Lepisosteus oculatus: one gene and its partner. The protein of the gene in region 1 interacts with the protein of each later gene in a biochemical or structural test. Links are inferred from orthologs where the notes say so. Each region holds a gene or a part of one and is shown in the gene's direction. Other genes may lie near its edges.

Region 1 (10,468 bases):
GCAGAATGGGGATGAGCTTCAGCTTCAGATCCACGGGAGTGTCAAGACCTGGGGATACAAGAGCACAAGAACGGCTTCAACTGAGCGAAAGACACCCAGCCCTTGTATGCCATTTGGTTTTTAGAAACTATCTGATCCAACAATCTCATTCAGCAATGGTACTGGCTTCGGCAACGTGGCTGCATAGGTCGTTCCAGACTCCCACAACCCTTTGTGTGGAGAAGAAATTAGCAGAGCCGGATTACTTCCACAAAATGCTGTGCTGCGACCAGCATTAACAGGTCCTGACCAGAGCCTGAGTGCAGCCCTGAGTAAAGGGCAGGTGAAACCAAGCCTAGTTTATTCAATCCCTAGTATTACCAAAAATAAATGGAAACAAACATACAGTTGTCTTAGAAAAGAACTCAATGCGGTAATCAAATCCTTTCTATAATCCACATATGATATGATATATTATAATACCATTAAGAATGAAATGCTATATCTATTGGCAAGCTGAGAACAGGTGTTCTAAAACAGTGTCATAAAATCAGACGAACAACACAGGTATGTTTAGTTCGTTCATGTAACAGAGATGCTGCCGTTGGCAATGAAACCAGTGAGTGCTATGTCAAATCCACTGTCTTTCTCCTTGGCTCGGCAATTTGCGCTGTTGGCCAAACAAAACAGATGAGCTGTCGGACAACTGATGTTTTGTTACAAATGGCAATTTCCAACTGGGCTGTGGAAAACAAAATGCATACAATAGGGCGATGGCACCACTAACTGAACTAAATGGAAGTACAAATTTAATTTAAAGGTCAGTGACCGTATATATAACAAATTAAGAAAATTACAAGACTGACAGAACAACACCTTTCAAGGAGGAATAAAATGGGCTTCAGCGGAACAACCTACCTTGGATCATTTCACCAATTTTGTTGCAAATTCCTGCTGCAAAATCTCTGCAAATAAAACGCAGACATACAAAATCAGACCAACGCATTTTATAACACACATGCATTTTCTTGTTGTGAATACTATTAAACCATTATCAGTCTTATTGTGTTCATCCATTTATTGTGTGACAGCTATATGTATATAACGGTATGATAACAGTTGTGTAAACATACATAGTACTCTACCCCAAAGGACTTAAAATTGCTTTATACAGTATATAGGAGGGGACCAGTTCATCCATCATTAAAGTGCAGGTCAATCCTTGAGGTCTTGCAGCAGCCATAATGCATCAGCAGTCATGCTACACAATCTATGAGGCGGAGAAGTGTCAAGTTGCTTCACCAGTTCAATTAAGGAAAGCACCACGTTCAGAACTAACACATACTGTTAGTTTATTGCAAAACAGAACCTGTGTTCATTTGCCCAGCAAGGATGTCCGCATCATTGTAAGGGAATGTGGCTTCGATCTGGCTAAGGTTATTATCAATGGTTCCTTCAGTACTGACTGCATGACAAAGTCACATGAGCAGGTGTTAGGATCTGAGTGCACACTATGTCACATTAGTGACATTAAGTGACTAATGTTTCTTTATAAGAGCTTTATTTTTAGTGAACACGTCTCACTGAGACACTTAGAAAGCACTGAAAAGTACCTGGGTAAAAACACCTAAGAAAATCAAGAACCAGGTAAGTAGCAAAGTGATATAACGGGCTCCTTTAAAAAATACATGTTTATAGGAATATTTCACAATAACCACCTTTCATACTTACAGAGTTTCACTTTTTGGAATGTTTTTTAAATTATCGGTCATTTTTCGACTGATCTCTTCCAGTTCCCAACTCTTTCATTTTAAACGGCTTTTGAGAGGCTTTGTGAGGAAATCACACAGGCGAGATCAGTTTCACACCACACTAACCTTTATGATTTGCTTCTTTCTGTGCCCTCACATTTAGCTTGACCTGAGAAGTTTTTTTTCCAGAACTTATTTTTGGTGGAAGGTTCATTACCAAGGCGATTACCAAAATCAAGTGATACGAAATGTGGAGTGTAACAATCCCCACGCATTCACTGTGTGAGACAATCTGTTTAAGGAAATGCTCCCCCCCCCCAGCAACACCCTGACTCTAAACAAAAATGTGACACTGACTTGGACTGGGCAGAGAAGCTGGCCGCGGAAAAAAGCGCTGCTTCCACTTCCACATTGTCGTGAGAGTCCAGACTCTGGCGGATGCTGTGGTGGGCATTCTTCCTCTCTGGGATAATGGAGGCCATACTACCCAGCATTCTTCAAAATGAAAAGAAAAACTCGAGTCACCATTGAAAAAAATCACCAAAACAGAAACAAGAGGCATAAACAGGGATACAATCATCACTTGACAAGGAAAACCCTTATTATAGTATATCATTCAGCACACAGAGTGTATTACTGCCATTTCCCTATCCATTTATTTAGTATAGGGTTGTGGGAGGAGCTGGAGTCTATCTCACTCCATCACAGGGCACACACAGACACAGACATGCACACACTCGCACCACGGCCAGTTTTCCCAGAAGCCAAATGAACCTACCAGTATGTCTTTGGACTGTGGAAGGAAACCGGAGCACCCGGAGGAAAACCACGCAAACACGGGGAGAGCATAGAAACTCCATGTGGAAATTAACCCCCTGCGCCACACCATGAGGAACTCAGTATCTGCCATACTTTTCTAAGCAATTTCTTGTTACAAATGCCTTAGTGAGGGATCTCTGAGTGTCATGTAACTGATCCACAGGCTTGCTCTGGTATCTTTCTTTGGAAAAAGGCCATGTTTGATGATCCCTTTAATTATATAATTCTTACTTAATTATCGTTTACAATTCTCGGTACCTGAGAGTGATGGCTCTGGCCACTGGATCATTGCTGTGAATGACGGAGAAAATCCTCTTGACAAACTCATCAACATTTAAGATTTTTTCCAGGTGCTTCTCACTCTGTTGAGTCACCTTCAGCACACAGAGCCGTAGAAAATTGTTTCTGTGACAGAAAGACAGAACAATTGGGAGATAATGCCTACTGTTCATAAAAACACAAAAACTAAGGGTCCATCTTATTTTAAGATGGTTAAAAAGTAGATGTTTGTGACATACACCCTAGTATCACATTCAATTGGGTTTTAACATTACAGAATTTTAAAACAAGTCAGAAAGGAATATGATAACATTTCTCATTCAGCTAAAAAAACACAAGTTACTTTTTATTTTTGAAAAACATGTAATGACTCATTGGAATGTAAGTAATATAATAATAAACTGTGACTGCCAGATGAGCCCTGTTGTTGACTGCACTTTCAAAATTTTACAGGAAACAAAAGAGACGACCCCTTCTCTTAGGAATTCAAGGGAACGAAGGTGACATTCAGAAATGATGCTGTTAGATTTTGTTTGTAATGTCAAATTCAGCTTTCGTAGAGTAGCATTGTACTACCATGCAGAAGTCACTGAGTATTCCGAAATCACTAATTTCTAAAGTCTGGGACCACCTGTACTTTTTGTTCAATTAGGCCAGTAATTTTTCCAATTAAAGGAACACTTGTCCTTCAGGACTGAAGAGTTTTGCTCCCAATAATCTTCATACTACTTAATTTAACAAATTATCTGTGACTGATCACCAGTTACGTTTTGCATGGCTTCAGAACATGGTGAGTTCATGCTGCCATACTGTATAAAACCTTCTCCATTGAGGCATGCAAAAACTAAAACAGCCTGAAAAATCACACTAAATGCAAAAATTGTTTGATTTTTTTTCAATTTAGCAAGAAACCCTAAGAAGCAACTCAGTTAAGCAGAGCAGTAAAAGACGAAGTGCTGTGCTTGGAGGGGAGCTCATTTCAACACATACCCCAGTCTGAAGATGTCTGCCAGTTTCAGAAAGGCGGAGTTGATCAGGATAGGGAACGGGTATTTCTGGAACAGCTTGGGAAAGAGCACCACAGCTTCACACTGTTCTCCAAGCTTGCCGGACCGCAGCCCTTCAGGGGGGGAACGATTTTTACAATACTGGTTAGTAAAAAAACTGTGCTGCTGCACATCTGAAGACTCCAACTTAGGATTTCATACAGTAAATAACTTAAGATGAAAGAATTCAGGTGATACAACAATCTTGCAGTCTTTACAAGGATTGGTGCAGGATCTAAAAAGGATTTAGTGTATGTATATATGATTCAATGACATATACAGAAATACACAGCTAATGGAGGAAAAACAGAACTCATTCATTACATTAATTAAGCAATTAACAACCCAGCGTTCTTAGAGTCATGTATAGAAATGCTGGACAGGCCTGGTTGGCCTTTATTATAACTTCAAGGGGAGACATCAGTGACTTTGAAGGGGTGTTTAGCAGAAACTTAAGTGATCAAGAGTCATAGTGTCTAAGCTGATTTCAGCATGGAACCCAATAGAAAAGACATCTTCGGTCAGTCCTAACAATGGGTCAGTATACTCCAGGATGGTAATATCCAAGCATTAATCAGAACTACAAATTTCATCCTGGGGCACAAGCAGCCAGTTTAATCAAGAGAAATGCTGAGAAATCCACACAGCAGGATCATTTAGACGGGTTGCACAGCGCAAATCACTCATTACCTCTTGTAACACACGCCTGTAAGACTAGTGGTGCAAAGAGCACAGCAAATGGACTATCAAGTACTAGAAAAAGGTCATTTGTTTAGATAAATCGTTCTTCACCATTTTTGGCACCATCCTATAGAACTCTACAGCCCTGGGTACAGTAATGTTAAGGGGTACATTTTCCTGCCACAGTTTAGGTGAACTCCTTCCCTTAGAAGGTAAGGTTAATGTAACCACTACTTAATGGCACTGAGTGATCACCTTCACCCTGTGTTGCAGAATTTCTTCCCTGCCTGGAGGGGAGTCTTCCAGGATGTCAATGCCCTTAGCGCACGTGGTCACCCAGTGTTTTGATGAAGGTGACACTGCTGTTTTCCACATCACATGGCCTTCTCTGTTACCTGATCCAAACTCTACCAAGCATTTATGGGATATTCTGAACCGTGGGGTGAGATAGTGTTTTCCACTTCCATTAACCAGGTGAGAGTTGATTGGCTTTCTCGTGGAAGAATGGTGCTGCATCCCTTCTGCAGAATTGCATGGCACATTCGTGCATTCATTCCACTGGGTTGTGCATATTCTGTCTACTATCTGTATATACATAATATACTGTATATGTTACGATTTAGATTACACCATATAGCGCAGCAATCACTGAATAATAAGGACTGAACAAATTCGTCTCTCTCAGTAAAATGATTAATCATTGATCCAACAATTAGTTTAACTGCCTAATCTATACTGTGAGCAGCAGAGTCACAGTGGAACGGAAGAACCAAAACGGCCTAGGCTGGTGTTTACATGAATCCACCAAAACAAAGTATTTTTATTACAGAACAGCAGCACCCATGAACGACCTCTTACATTTTTAACAGCTCGAAGCTCAAAGCATTGCACGCGTTTTACTCAGGTGTGTGTAACTACCTTTGTCCAGCTCCATCAGAGCAGAATTGGCATCTAATTCTTGCTCCCCGTAACCAGCTTCTGACAAGAATGATCGCGCCGTTGTTAAAGACATGATTCCTAGACTGAAAGTCAAATATAGTCAACAATTTTCTCTATTACAATATACGTTTGAGAATCTGATTTTAAAAAGGACTTTTCAATTAAAACACAATCATACTGCATACATGGCACAAAAGAAACTGCTACATCCCAGCAGTGCAAAGCGGCAGGAAGTGACATAAACACTCGACTACCCGCCCATGACGTAAACGTGCTGCCGCCACTAGGCCGCAAGAAAGGCGCAATAACGTGACATCAGTGGATATTCAAAATGCTAGATGACCGGGAAGTTTTGGTACCTGTTTGAGGAGGTAATATTTTCTGTAGGTTATGGGAGAGGGTTGGGATCTGTACTTTATTGAGTAGTTAATCTGGATCCAGGTATCTCTGACTGGTACTCGCTTTGTTACGCAGAGTGGGTGGAGTCTGACCACTCTGTGCTTTCTTGACCAATCATGTAGCGAAACGTCATTTAGGCGGGTGTTTCGTATTCTTTTTTCATTTCTGAGTTCGCGGGAAAGGGTACTTGTGTATTTCATTAGGAAGAGATACACAGCTAGTGGTGCTGCATTGTGAAATTTAAATCCATTTAATTTGCAATTGAGTTTTAAACACAATAACAAATTGCAAGATGCTATTTCGTTCCATTGTTGATAGAGGAGTTCTCAGAAGGAGGCACAATGGTAAGTTAAATTAGCTGCTAGGTGATGATTTAATATAGAGTACTGGCTCTCTAGTCAATTAATCTTCAAAACTGGGGGAGGAATGCGTTAGATCTTCACATTTTGCCTCTTAAATACCTTGCATAGTATTTGAATCAAGACTTATTTAAAGAGAGAAAGTAAAAAGATCGACCATTTCTTGTTTAACTTGTTTCTTTTGGGGGGCGTTCTGAAATTAGCTTTTGTGTCTATTTATGCCATTATCTTCTAATTATGAGGTGATCAACGCGGATGAATATATTTAAAGTGCTTTTCATTCATTTTATTTTTCCTAAAGTAAAAGGATTCGCTTTTGCTGCTCAAAATGGTGCTCTTTCTTCCTCTACGGTGGGGTGTTAAAATGTAAAGATGAGGGGGTTGGGTGGGAAACACGCTTCAATACGATTCATTTTCGGTTTTTCTCTGTGTGAAACCATCTAAAATCAGCTTCTTAACTCATCGGTTTCGAGAAAGCAATACCAAAATCCATTATATTGATGATATTGGTGATCGCGATGTGGACACGGAAGCTTTTATCAATGCGATCAGTATTTCTAAAACAGAGGCCACACTGTAAAACGGCGTTTAGACCAATGAAACTTTTAGGATTCATTGAATTTATTTATGAAACTCTTAACTGTTCTATTTAACGTTAAACTATATTTTAAAGGATTTAAGCAAAATCGCGTACGAAGTAGATCGTAGAAACTTACACTCTGACGGAGTTTTTTAAATGAATAGATGTGGACGGGAGCGGTCGCGCGGGCTTAATTTAACAAGAATGAATGAACTCTCAACACTGTTTTCCCTTACAGGGCCGGAGCGTGTGTATCCGCTTTCCTCCCTGTTAGATTGTTACCAGTGTGCTAGACAAGATGAGCACATCTCGTATGGCGATATGGGGGTTCCAGTTCCTCCCTTCGGATGCACGTTTTCTACAGGTAGAGGATCGCCAAAAAGTCTATTTGTGTTTTAGCCTGTTACAAGCTAAATATGATGTGGATTGAAATAAATCGCCCTCATCTTAAATCCTCACTTTTTGCTCATTTCCTTATTTGGTTTGATATTAAATCCAGTAACGTGACTGGGTTTTTTCTTTAAATCCCACTCTGTAGCTTTACCTGTTGAGGGCACCTCGTTTGAGTTCTAAATTGGAAGAATGGATTTGGGGATTATCTTCGATCCTGCTTCATTTTGAAACCCATGTAGCAGATATAAAAAGTCTACACACCCTTACTGAAATTACAGGTTTTTGTGATGTAAAGCCAGAAATCAAAGAAAAATTATGTCAGACATATTTGCGTCTTTAATGTGACCTTGCACCCAACAAAACTCAAGAGAAAAACAAATGGATAATTATTAGGAAAAATAATTTAAATAAAAAATAACTGCTTTATGCACAGTGCTTGTTTTTCCTTCTTAGAAATGTTCTAGGTTACCTCCTAAGGTGTCCGCTCTTTAGAGGGGGTTGGGGAGGATGTTTCTGCATTTCTTTGTGCAGGAATCTCTAGGCTACTCTTAAATTACAGTAGGTTCAAAATTCGGAAGCTAAATCCCGACTAGGTCACTTACAAATGATCTTGTCACGTCACTCCTGTTTTGGAGTGTTTGGATTCCTGTTCCTGTTAATTTCCAAATCCTTCTTACCTTCATTAGTCTACATGGTGCGACCCTCTGGTATCTAGTCAGTATCTATACCCTTTTCCTCCTTTCCACTCTTTTTGACTTGGATCTTTTTTGGTGTTTCTGTGGTTCATCTACACTTTCGGGGTGATACCACATTCTGTCGCTATGCTCTGGAATACCATCTATGAGTAATGCAGCAACATTTTAGTGCTTTTAATTCTAGTCTAAAACCTTATTTTTCTGAAAAACATTGTCACTGTTTTATATTCTTTATCTCCTTCGTTTTTTGGCTTTGTGATTTGACCTTATTGTGAAATGTACTTTTTATGTATTGTAAATTCCGAAATTACTTTTTAACACAACTATGTTAAAGCTTGTTATATAGATGTCAGGTATAGGTGTTTAGCTTTGTTTAGTCTTTATCAGAGGCGTTTAAAGAGCAAATTACAACTAAATAAGGATGAGTTAAGACGAACATCATCTTTTATACAGCTGAACAGTTTACATGTCTTATTAAAGGACTTTTATGTCTAGAAAGACACGGCAAGTTAATGGCTGTTGACAAACAGCACACTGTTCTGTAAAATTAATTTGGTGTTGACTGGAGTTCATCTGCTTGTGAGATTTCTTTTCTGAAAATTGTGAGTTAGCAGTAATTTTTACAAAATTGCTTAGTGTCAGATTTAAGACGTGAAAATGGATTCTGTTACTCGTAGTTAGTTCCTCTGGTGTTATACACAGAAAACTTTTCTCAGGATAATTGTCGCTGTAACGTGGGTCTCTGTTCACTAGCTCCAGGCCTGCAGCAGATCCTGGCTGTGGCAAACGAAGAAGGTGTCGTCAGGCTGTACGACACAGAGTCACGCAGGCGTCCACTTTTGAAAGGTAAAGAGTGATTGAAAGGGTCTCCATTTATCTGAATCAACTCTGCTTCTTTGCTTGATTCCCCCCCCCTCCCCCCAGTCATAACATCGTCATACAGCACAAGCCTTTGCTTATAAAGTTTCCGTCTAACAGACCTAAAGTGGAATGAACTACGACTGTTGGAGCCATTGTCCTCCCTGTTCCAATACCTTGCAATACCTTATTGCCACACTTCACTTCCTGAAAAGATCCTGATGTGAATAGTGTCCCCTAAGATGTGAGCACTCGTCACTTTTCCACACAAAAGAAAAACACCAGACCAGGAGGTGTTTAGTAAAGACATCTGTATCTGTGCAGTGATGAATGATAATTTCATTTTGTAAAGGAAGTAAAAAACTTTTACCAATTCCTTCACAGGAATGAACACGTGGGTGTCTTCTGAAAAGTATGTACTTGAACCTTAGCTCTTTGTCCCCCCTCTCTTTAGATTGGCTGGCTCACACGAATGCCGTCTTTGATATTGCCTGGGTTCCTGGAGAGCCGCGACTTGTGAGTGCCATTGATTTCTTACATGTGAAGAAACCGTGTCTCAAAAATTCTAAATTAACTAAAGCAAACACCTAGTATCTTTTTAGATATTTAGGTATATTTTAACCAGTTCAAGCAGAGCTCAGACATTCTGTCTTGTGGTTGTAGATCCTCTGTTGTCTCTGTCTGTTATCCTATAGGAAAACTAAATTACTTGGAATTCAAGTGTAATCTCAAAACTCTGTACAGGATTTTGCTATTAATAAATATTGATCCTTTTTCCAGTCTGGAGTTTTAGAAAACTCTACAATGTAATGGGAGTTTCTGCAAATGTTTTCTCTGTAAGGAGTATCATATCTCCTTTACTGGTTTATCACCCTCTAGAGATGGACATGTCTGTCCAGTGACTCAGGATTCATACACCTGCTGTTCTCCAGTAATGGATTCCCTTGTTACCCCACAGGTTACAGCATCTGGGGACCAGACAGCAAAGCTGTGGGATGTGAAGACAGAAGACCTCCTGGGCACCTTCAAAGGGCACCAGTGCAGCCTGAAATCGGTAGCTTTTGCAAGGCAGGAAAAGGGTGAGGCTCACAGAACTGAGCAATGACTTTTCTACCCCCCAAAAAAAACATGTCTTGCTCCAGTGTTACGTCTGGAACCTGGTTAAGATATGAAAAAATTGACACAACAGAAAAAGACGTTGCAAAGGTGGAGCTTCTCACCTGAAGTTCTAATGGGTTGGTAACAAGTTGGAAGGACCTCAGTCTGGTAGCAAAAGTACCTTTGTGATCTTTGGGGAATATTTTTGACAGCAGATATTTCTTATATCTGGGCAGAATTTACGCTAGAGTCTCAGCACTGATAACTCTAATTCAGAATTGCAGCCAGCATTGACCATGAAAAGTTCAGTTCCTCATCACCTTAGTGAATAGTAATGAGAATCAAAGCTCTGTGTCTCATGCAGAATGAATGAAAAGGTGCAATGCTTAAATTCTTTAGCACAACAACACAACACCCAGCATGTTAGTCTCATTCATTTCCTTGGCTAATGCATAATCAGAGCAGAAATCCAACCCACTAGTCCGTTTCATTTATTTAGCTTATTTCTTCTACTATGCGGATATTCAGGAAACCATTGTGTTGACTGTATATAGTTATAAACTTTCACCAGTTTGGTCCATTACTGAAAATA
Region 2 (10,558 bases), on another chromosome or scaffold:
TGGGTGGAAGTGCTGGCTCCTGCTTTATCACCACTGCTGGCTCTTGTTTTATAGTGGTCGTCAGTGGTTCTGTTCCCAAACCAAGATCCAGGGCACTCAGAGGCACTGGCTGAAGAGACGCATGGAAAACAAGGCAGATACATCAAACCATAACCAATAAACCACAAACACAACAAATGATGTGTATAAATATTATTAATCTAGATTTCTAGAAATGGTTTTACTGGTACTAGATTTAATTATAGATCAACTAGAACTGAAGATGCCATCACCAATCTGATGTATAATTCTAAGAAGAAGTTTAAATGTAAATTCTCTCTAAATGTTGCATCTGTCCCTTTGCAACACAATCGCCACTAAAGTGACATGATAAAAAATCAGAAACACCATATTTTTAAAACATGCAGACACAGGACTAACATAAAAATTAAACATGATTTGTAAACAATAAATTAGTCTATTTTTGCTAGAAATATTCTGGAATGCACATAAATCTCTCCAGTATATCAATAAAAAAAGTATTAAGAGGCACTACATCAATATTTTTCAGAAATGACAGATTCACTATGGCAGAACCTTTAACCATCCAATAAGGAATACTGCAGAAGTACTAATAACATGGTGGGGAAAGTCTGGAAAATCATCCCAGCTATACTGTTGAAGTCTATACAATTGGCCTTATTAAAAAAAAAGTTGAGATCTCAGATTAAGCAGCAACCAAACAAGTTAAGATTGCCGAATTTGGAGCCAGGAATGGGTTTTTGTCTTGCATTGTTTAAACTTCTGCAAGCCATATTTCTTCTATCTTATGCCTTTATGCCACTTGCTTTAAGAACAATTCTTACCTGCTGAATGGCTGATGGCATGCCAGCATCCATAGGGTCAATATCGAAGACGTCATTGGGGCTGATCCCACTCTCGCTCAGAGCAGCAAGCAGCAGATCTTGACCTGGATCCATCATCTACCACAGCAGAGACAAGAACCAAAAAGGACATTTTCTTATTCCAGTAAAGCACCCATGGAGCAAAAAACATGAGCCTGAGCTAACACTAAACAAAATCACAATACATTTTATAGAAAAGGGAGCCCTATAGTTAATTAAAAAAAACGACAAGTTCAATACACTGTCATATAAGCATTTTACATGAGAAAAATATTCAATACCTTATCTCACACTACTAAGAAGCACTGTACACCAACGTGTTACAAATTAGAGATCAGGCTAGCTGTCTTTTGGTGGTGCACACTAAACTCCAGAGAAAAGTAAACAGAAACAAGCTGACCCATAACAGGAAAGTGAGGTTTCATTTTCGTTTCCAGGGTCTACTGCATTCTGTTGCATCCAATTACATATTAGTGATTAACACAGAAAAAAGTTAACCATTCATTCACTGCTATGGATTATTTATAACTATAAACATTATGGAGGATTTGCAGATGCGAGTGCGTGGTTTGCTGTAGCATGCATCTCAGACCATGTGCTCATTACACATTAATGAACATTTTAACTACCCACATGAGCAACAATGTAGCAAACATATTCTGCATTTTGTTAGGATTTTTGGAAACTGGCTCCCCATTGTCAGCTATAAACTTGGTGCTTGGTGGAAATTGTTTTAAAACACGCATTGGGATTGGTAACAATAGTGCACAATTTATTACCAAAAGTAATGTTTGAAGTGCTTATCCTACATAGCTTTAGTTACGGTAAGAGTTTACAAGAGCCCAAACTTCCCTGAAGATTCCTAAAGTTAAAACCCTTTCTGCCTCTCATCTGGCAGCACGAGACAATATTCACCTCTCTAAAATACTACACTCGCATCATTTTAAGGATCAGCAAACAGTCGATTGCAGAAGTGGACAAATATTCAGTCCAATTATCTGTTCATGAACTTAATCCTTTTTAATGGAAACTGGAAGTTTTCTTTACCTTTTTGAAAGGAGACACTGAGTGGTAAGAAAGCACCAATGGATGTGTTCAGAGTTATTACGGAATGCACTTATACCTGGCATGAGACCTGATTAGACTATAAGTGTATTCATACAAAATACACTTGACTACACAAAAAAAGGCATTTAAGCTACAAAACCTTAACTTTAAAACGAAATACCCTTGGTCACTCATATGATAAAGGGGGAATCTTAAATTGCAGTATTTACAAGCAAGGAGATTGAAACGACAGGAAACAAACACATTGTTTTACAGGAAAATAATGTTAGTCGTTCACATTAAGTTATTTTCCTTTTGTTAATGAGCTTTGTCAATTTACATTGATGTGCGTTCATGTGCCTATGGCCCACGCGTCTTGACAGTCACCTCTCTAAGAAAACATGTTTTAATTTATACAGCCGACACGTCTCAAAGAGTATATTTGAAAATTATTTCCCTCCAAACAAGTGTGATAGCAGAATTAGTATTATTCGAAAAGGTCAATTTTCAGAGTCATAACCTCTACTCAAACACGTGTTCAATTCATAAACTTCCGGGTTTGGATAGTGCTAGCTACGTAATGTTCTTTATGGTTAAATGTTTCAACCATCGAATTACAATTTAAGTTATAAAATTCGACAGATAAAATAATTAAATACGATAACATGTGGGGGAACATAAGGCTACTGTACACTATTTGGGGCTAGAAACGCGATTAACGTGCATCATCCATAATTAATATAACTTCAAATAAAAAATATCATTTAACACTGCAAGGGGCTTTATAATGTATAGTTACAGAACACCATGTAAGGTTAGATTAGCACTCGATGAACGAAAACATATACTTACCATTTAGAGGATAAATGTAGATTGTTTATAAAGATTTAATCAATCTACAAATCCAGCAGAGTCATCTGTAAAACACCTTCCTTAGCGAGAGGAAAGAGTGTTTTGACGTGCTCAGAAAGAACCAAGAGTCCAGAAAACGCGAGTTGCCGCCTTGGAGCCCGGGGCTGGTCTGTGACAATGCTGTTGTGAAGCCAGTCCTTAAAGCCTCGGACCTCTTCGTGATATGCTCAGTCACCGTAACAGCGGACAAGGCGAACACAAAACAAATCTATTTTTTTTTTTTACAGTTTCGCCAGCACCGGTCCCATTCTTTTTTATTTATTTTTTTTACACCAGTGAAGTCCACGAATTTTCGGCGGCCATTTTACGATCCCGCAGCCTCCACACGCACACTTACTTGTCGAAGTTCTGGCTTCCAAATAACCGCAGCAGACTCGAGGTGACTACTACATAGCTCCTCCGCCGCTTTCTATCCGACTGCCGCCATCTTTACCGAGCGGCCGGAGCCGCGTGCGATGTCACGTGACGCCCGCCCCCGAGAGCAGAATCTTCCAGAATCGCGTCCCTGCCGCTCGAAAAACGCGATAGGAGCCGCCGGTCCCACGGCACGGGAACTGGACGCGGTCCCGCTGGCTTGGCGCGGCGAAATTAATGTTCGGGTCCATTTTTCCTTATATTTTTAATCGGATCGGGGAAGCAAGAGAGAAGTAAAAGCCCCGATCACGTGACCACTGGCGTGGCCTTGGTCGGGAAGTGACGATGAATGACGCACTTCCTTAGGGGGGATACCGGAAGTATCGATTTGGGACATATTGAGAAGGTCTTGGTTAGGTTTTTGGTGAGACTTTACAATTATAACTCTGCTGATGCGGGGGGATTAAAATATTCTTTGTACAATATCTGTAATATAAGATGATGTGAGGGATAGGGAGCCTTAGACTAGAATAATTGAAATGTCGTGAACATTGAAATTGGTGTTTGGAGTAGTTTATTTGAATTTATTACATGTTTTATTCTTCGAGTAACGATTGTAAAAAAAATCATCTTAATATTTACATTTATTGCTTGTGGCACTCGCCGAGAACCGGATTTTAATTTCGATTCGTCTTTTCTGCTTTGGGTAAATGCTGATCGAATCTACCTGATCAATCCAATGCCGACGTGAGTTGATGTTTGGGGTTTTGTAGGTTTATACAGCACAAGAAGTGGCTCACCCTCGACAGCTCAAGTCTTGCCGTTGTTTTACTGAACCGTATTTTACGGTATTAATCCGATCTCCAGCAGTACAGTTAAACAAGGAAACAAGCACAAGAAAGCGAGTGGCAAGGGTCAACGTAAAAAGAAGACAAAAAGACAAGAATTTTGGGCATAACCCGCTTGTTCCTGGATCTGTGTTGTGGTTTCAGGAATGCCCACGAAGTCCCCATTAATTCTGTCCAAGTATGAAAGAGTATTTAGTTCCTTTGAATTGTGTTAGGGGTATTTAGAGTTAAAAATTAACGTAATGATCACGTTTGCTTGATTTAATCTAGTTCTTAATCAAAAACATGACCCTGCCCATTGCATCAGCTACTTAAAATAAAACGCCACAGTTTGGTTTTGGTTTTTTTTTTTTATAAATAGATAGGTTGTCTTCTTGGAAACAACCTTCCCATTGGAAATAAGTCATTCCTGTGTCACATTTATGATTTCTATTAAATGCACAGTCAGGATCTCTTTGTATTACTCGCATCGAAACAGGCTTGTGCTTTCTGGCTTTGTGTCACAATTAATTGTACAAGATATCGACCCCAAACCTGGTGCATGAAAGGACAGCGATTTTATTAGATTCACTGTTGCCTTGGTTACATATGATCATGTCTTCTGTATAGTTTTTTTTCCCAGTATAATCAAGATCTGTTCCAACACCCCAGTACAAGCAAAGTCAAAGATGAGGAGAGTGCCCCTTTCACGTATTAATTATAACAAATTAACACGACTGTGTCACTCCTTCCACACTGTTCCACACATAATATATATCGCTTCCTTTACTCAATCATCCCAGTGCGCCTGACTGGTTCTTTCACTGAAATGATCAATTATTAGATTCATTTGCCATGGAAACGAACTACAATCACTCGCCGGAGTAACCACGCTAGCACGCTAGCACGCTAGCATCATAAGAAAAGCGCAAGCATAGTCCCATACACGACTATGAGGAAAAGACCGACAGGTAAGGGATGCAGCGAAATAAAATTAAAAAAAAAAACTAAACGTGGAAGATGACTGGATCCTCTATCGAGAGTCGGGCTTTTGCTGCTGCGTTCCTGCAGGAAGGCGTCCTTCGCTGCCTCGTCTATGTTGTTTTAAAGATACTCACTTATCGGCCTCCTCTGCCTCAATGAAATGAAATCCACAGCCCTAGCTGATGAGTCAGCACGGCTGCATACCCTGTTCTCTGGTTGCCTTGTACAATAATGACAGCATTAACTGCAGCAGGGTCTTATTGTCATAGAGACATAGGCACAGTTACAAACAATAGCAGTAAACATGAAAAGAATGTGTTCTAACAGGGTGCTGTAGCCTTTCTCACGCGTCTGTCATCGATACATTGAGGAAAACCCAAATTCATTTAGAAAACGTCTAAGACGTCTCCCTAAATTCCCTTAGCAACTAATCCCGTTCTGCAACCGTCTTTATAATTCATCATCTTGCTCTCCAGAAAATTGCTATGCCAACCAAGTCCTGTACTGTATATTTAAAGCAACAGAAAACAAAGCTTTATTCAGAGTATACAACTAGCAACTGATTTCAATGGATTCGGCTGCTACCCCTTGTGGAATAGTTTAGCACACACATACAATTAATTACTTCTCTTTGAAATAATTAATTTCTACGACTGAAACGACTTTCTCTGGATTCATCCATATTTTATATATTTATTTCTTATGAACTGAATTGCAGATTTCATGAATTATAAAATGAACAAGCGGTCAATAAAGTCATATACTTTCTTTTGTTTCGTGTGTATTTGTATTTGAAACTTCTCCTTGCGTTGTTTAATCACAATTTTATACACTACATTGTTGCCTGAATGTAAGTCTATGCACCCGAATATTGTGTTCTTATATAAGGTTTCTCACAAACCTTATACTGTATATGCTAGGTATTTCCCCTGAGACTAATCAGGCTTTTTTTCTAGATACATTAAGATTAAGATGTTCTACTGCATCTTGGTGTTTTACGTTTCCCTTAATGGGAATAGGTGATCACGTAAATGAATTTTTATTTCCAGGATGAATACAAATCCACAATATCCATTTAACAAGATAAATCTACTATCTAATCGGAAATAAGGCAGTTAGTTTTCCCGCGAGAATCGATGCTTAAGATCTGTTTCTGATGTGATCTGTAGCACCTTTTTGATATGTATTAACATATTTCTTACAGCAGACAATAAAAACTCGCTGTTTATTTCTTCCAATATTGACCAGCTCACTTTTCATTCAAGTAAAACAGATCACCGTTCCTCATTCACTTCTTTTAAATCTGCATATTTTATTTTGTTAATACGCAATATGCGTAAATGCACATTTATAGCAATTTAAGTGTCACATTATTTTAAGGGAAACTTAAAGTCTTGATCTGACTGAAATGTGACCGGAAGGTTTTGACTTAACGTCATTAAAGAGGATGCTCAGCAATACAGGGGCAGTGCTGGAAATGTAAGACATCACAAAATGTGTATAGAATCTCGTAGCAATAGCCACATGGGAAAATGCACTGTAGGGGCCATCGTAGAGTTTTCCACCAATCACATTTCAGGCCTTCAAACTTCTCAGCCAATCGGACGTAAGCATGGAATTCAAACCTCACGGACTGTTTGGGTACGATTCATTTAATCAGCCAATCACAGCGTGGTACGGAAGCCTGAGACGGCCATGAGCAACAATGGGTGATAATTTGTACGGAAATATGAAGTGAATGGCTGTTTAAATGGCCAATAGGGGTAGGAGAGTAGGGATTATCTCGTAAAGAGCAACATCTTATAAAAGTGTAGTTTAACAGCCCATTTTTTTATGGTTACTGTTAAAATACTTTAAGAGAAATTGGTTTGCATTGCTTGTAATATCACGTTCGCGTCTGGGGCTCGGCTATTATGGCGAGAGGTGAGTAACGTTTTTCGGTCAATTTGTGTGCATGAAATTCACGTGCCGAGCTCGTTTTTTTAATGAATATATAATATCCATGTGTGCTATATACTTGGAAAATACCGATGGAGATGGTACTGGAAAGAAATCGATCGTGTCCCTTCAGGCAGAATGTGTTGTGCAGCGGTGAAGCTCATTCACAACTGCAGGAGTGGTAGCTAAAGATGTCTAGATTTTCTGCATTTTGTAGGCATTGCAGAATTGGAAGGGTTTAAAGTAAAAGCGTCTCAGACTCCAGTTTCTGGAGGGCCTAGTGCCTTCTGCTTTTCATTTCCACCCTGACGAGGCAATTTAAACAATTGACTCATTTGCTTAGACACAACCTTAATTCAAAACCTTAGAGGTGTAATTTATCTGTAAAAACACCCAGAGAGCCTTGGCAGAAGTAGTATAATGATGGAGTTAACTGATAAAATTAACCAGCTATGCCAGGGAGAACTCAGGCAGACCAGAAGCTGATGAAACCAGGTCGGTGGTCGGGAATTCTCCAAAGCAAGTATCCCTTCTTTAGACGGGACATTCCTTTGGGAAAATTTGAGGGAGTCCCTAGAGAGATCTGTAAGATCTTATATCTAATTCTCACGCACAGTACGTGGGTTTCTAAATTCTGGTCGTGGAATACCCCTGTGTCTACTGGGTTTTAATCACGGGTAGTTTATTTCAGTTTTCTATTTAAGGCCCACTTTAAGTTCCTTAAAGAAGCTGACTGGGATTTGCCATTAGTGTGAACCCTGCCCTCTGTGGTGAGTTTTAAGTTTGCCCTCACTCAAGTCTGCTAGCTGAAGTATAACCAATGGGACTGGAGAGACACTGACTCGCTGTGAAGGTTGTCCAATGTCAGTCTTGTCCGTTCATCATCAGTTCATCACCTATCAAGAACTGTTGAGTCAGAAAAATTGGAGCAGCTTATTAATAAGCAAGCTGAAGAGTTGCAGCATAAAGTTCCATGTGCAGCGTGAATGTTTCTTCTGCACTCTTTAGGATAAACCGACCTTCATTGTAGCAAAAAAAAGGTTAATGTTTAGGAAAGAAATGCACAAGATAGAATCGAAACGCATGTATAAACTAGGAGATAAATAGGGGAGATCGACTAAACTTCATTTAAAAACGAATCAATTCAATAAAAATTAAAGCATACGTATATATTTTTCCCCCAGTCACGTTGTGGGTGCACTGAGTCTGTGAACCCAACTCTCTCTGCTGGACAGAGGCGGCGGTGCAAGCACAGAGTTTGCAGTCCCTTTAAATGTTCACGTGGTTACTTTCCCCGTGTCTGAGTTAAAAACATGGCGGAGGGGAGGAACTGTGAAAACTGCTTGGGTTGATTAAAAAAAAAAATAAAAGGAAAAAAAGGGACGCCCTAGCAGTTATGGTTTTATTTTGCTTTTCAAGAAATATCGACCCTGTAAAATGCCTTAATTTTCATTTTCCAAGGGAAAAAGAAAACCCCGAACCACGGTAAAAGCAAAACTGAGGACATTGCCCACACCACGGAGCAGCTAAAAGGAAAAAAAGAAAACAAACCCGAAATGAACGGGGTAGGTCTCGACTTCTTTTTTTTAAATATTGATATTTTAACGGAAAAAATGCAGAAATAACAACTACGAGAAAATGTATCCCTATATAAATTGTACAAGAGACCTCTTTAGAAAAGTTGGAGCTGCTTTTTTTTCTACCGGTGCTAAGTTTTCATGTTTATGTAGATCATTTGCGTTGTTTATATTCCAAATTAATTTGCACAAACATATGTTAAAGTAGTATATTGTTTGTCGTTTTAAATGTTGAAGTTATTTCCCTAATATCCGGCCCGTATACATTGCCTGTATGTATAGTTTATTTGAAAACTATGCACACTATACATGTTATAAACTACTGTATACACTAGCACGGCCAGGTTGTAAATTTAAGAACAGTAAGAGAGCCTTATGTTTTCACGTACGTATGATGCTAAAACCCCAATAATAAATGCATATTAGAAGGAGTGATGAGGCGGACGTTTAAGCTTCCATTTGGTTCTTTGCGAATTTTTAATTCTTTAGTACATTAATACAACAGAATACTGTACCTTGCTTCACTGAGGAATGTATTCTGTATGGGCAGCTGCATCCTCGATTATTTCTGGACATTCGTGTGCCATATTGCAGTGTTACTTTGTTGAATGTGTAAAGAATTCCGAAAGGGAGGAAGATAAATGTCCCTAGACATTCTAGAGCTGTTATTTGAAGTATGTTGGAAGGCTGCAGAAATAATCTGGGCTGCATGTTAATTCGACCCGAAAATGGGGTTTATGAACAGTGTAATCGGTGCTGTTTTGAACATCTGCATTACGTCGGTTACACAGAAGGAAGATGCGCTTCTGCTTTTGTATACTCGCATTTAAAAATATAATGATCTGGTCTGGGGGAATAGGTTTTTAGGTGAATTTGGTCTCCTTTGTGTGATGTGCATCATCTTTCGAGAAACATGCATGTTACCTACACAACTGTAATTAATTTCTTTCAATTTAATTCTAATGGAGCACCTTCCAGGGGTGGCACGGGGGCGCAGTGGTTAGCATTGCGAGACAGCGCTGGGGTCCTGGGTTCAATTCCACGCCTGGGGTGCTATCTGTGTGGAGTTTGCATGTTCTCTCGGAGTTTGCATGGGTGTGCTCTCCGGTTTCCCTCTCACAGTCTAAAGACATACTGGTAGGTTAATTGGCTCCTGGGAAAATTGGCCCTGGTGTGAGTGTGTGCATATCTGTGTGTATGTCTGTCTGCCCTGTGATGGACTGGTGTCCCACCCAGGGCGTATCCTGCCTTATGCCCGGTATTTGCCCGGCTCTCCTGTGACCCTGTACTGGACAAAAAATGGATGAATATTACATTTCAATCCAAAGCATAACATTTCTTAATTGTTGTAGCTTGATGCTGAGCACGTCTAGGGAGCACACTGCTAATGTATTGTGCTTAGGAAGGTCATGTGAAAGAACGGCGAGAATAATGTTCAAACGTTGCTTTCTGCATTCTCTCCCTTGTGTTGAAACAGGATATATTTTATAACGGTCAGTCCTCAATACGTCCTTTCTTGAGCCCCAGCAAGCCACGTTCTCCACTTCATGATGAAAACTCGATCGCACATATACACGACGGAAAAAGCCCCGGCAAACGTACTGTACAGCAGGGATCCACTAAGAAGGAGGAGGGTATGGTTCAAAACTTCGTCTTTCTCAGATTTGTTCATAAAGGCATAAAGTATAAAAACTCTGACTTTGTACGCAGGGAACTAATTGATAAGCTAGCATCTTCATGTGGAATGCAGAGCTCCATTTCAGTGGTCCGTTTACTATTTAGTGATGCTCAGTGTAGCCTGGAGGAGAGGCAAAAACTTTTATCTCTGCATTGTTCATCTTTAGACCTTTTGGACCCCCCCAGTGCCCCCTCTTAACATTCCTCTGAATATTTACTGTAAACAGAAGTTACGTTTTATTTAGCATTTACTGTAAGGAATCGGTTTTAGACGTATGCGAAACAAGTCAGGAGATCTGAGTTAAAGCTCTGTTAAATTGTTTCCGTTTATAAATGACATCTGTGTTCAGCAGCAGCC

Evidence for each region. The genes of interacting proteins can lie anywhere in the genome.
Region 2: the proteins of dtl (region 1) and kmt5aa form a complex in vitro, tested with the Homo sapiens proteins (2 studies listed by BioGRID, with this or other methods). The link is inferred for Lepisosteus oculatus from reciprocal best matches to the Homo sapiens genes DTL and KMT5A.

Annotation. Positions count from the first base shown.
Region 1 is NC_090697.1:46,094,027-46,104,494, reverse strand, and holds the start of dtl (denticleless protein homolog), read left to right. Parts: upstream 1-6,072; 5' UTR 6,073-6,185; coding exon 6,186-6,237; intron 6,238-7,070; coding exon 7,071-7,196; intron 7,197-8,673; coding exon 8,674-8,766; intron 8,767-9,232; coding exon 9,233-9,294; intron 9,295-9,736; coding exon 9,737-9,857; intron 9,858-10,468. Other genes in the region: ints7 (integrator complex subunit 7), read right to left, coding at 1-48, 898-944, 2,088-2,225, 2,808-2,954, 3,819-3,948, 5,474-5,567. UniProt on the Homo sapiens protein: Substrate-specific adapter of a DCX (DDB1-CUL4-X-box) E3 ubiquitin-protein ligase complex required for cell cycle control, DNA damage response and translesion DNA synthesis.
Region 2 is NC_090717.1:7,591,861-7,602,418, forward strand, and holds the start of kmt5aa (N-lysine methyltransferase KMT5A-A), read left to right. Parts: upstream 1-6,681; 5' UTR 6,682-6,921; coding exon 6,922-6,931; intron 6,932-8,407; coding exon 8,408-8,511; intron 8,512-10,000; coding exon 10,001-10,157; intron 10,158-10,558. Other genes in the region: sbno1 (protein strawberry notch homolog 1), read right to left, coding at 1-109, 846-962, 2,784-2,786. UniProt on the Homo sapiens protein: Protein-lysine N-methyltransferase that monomethylates both histones and non-histone proteins. Specifically monomethylates 'Lys-20' of histone H4 (H4K20me1).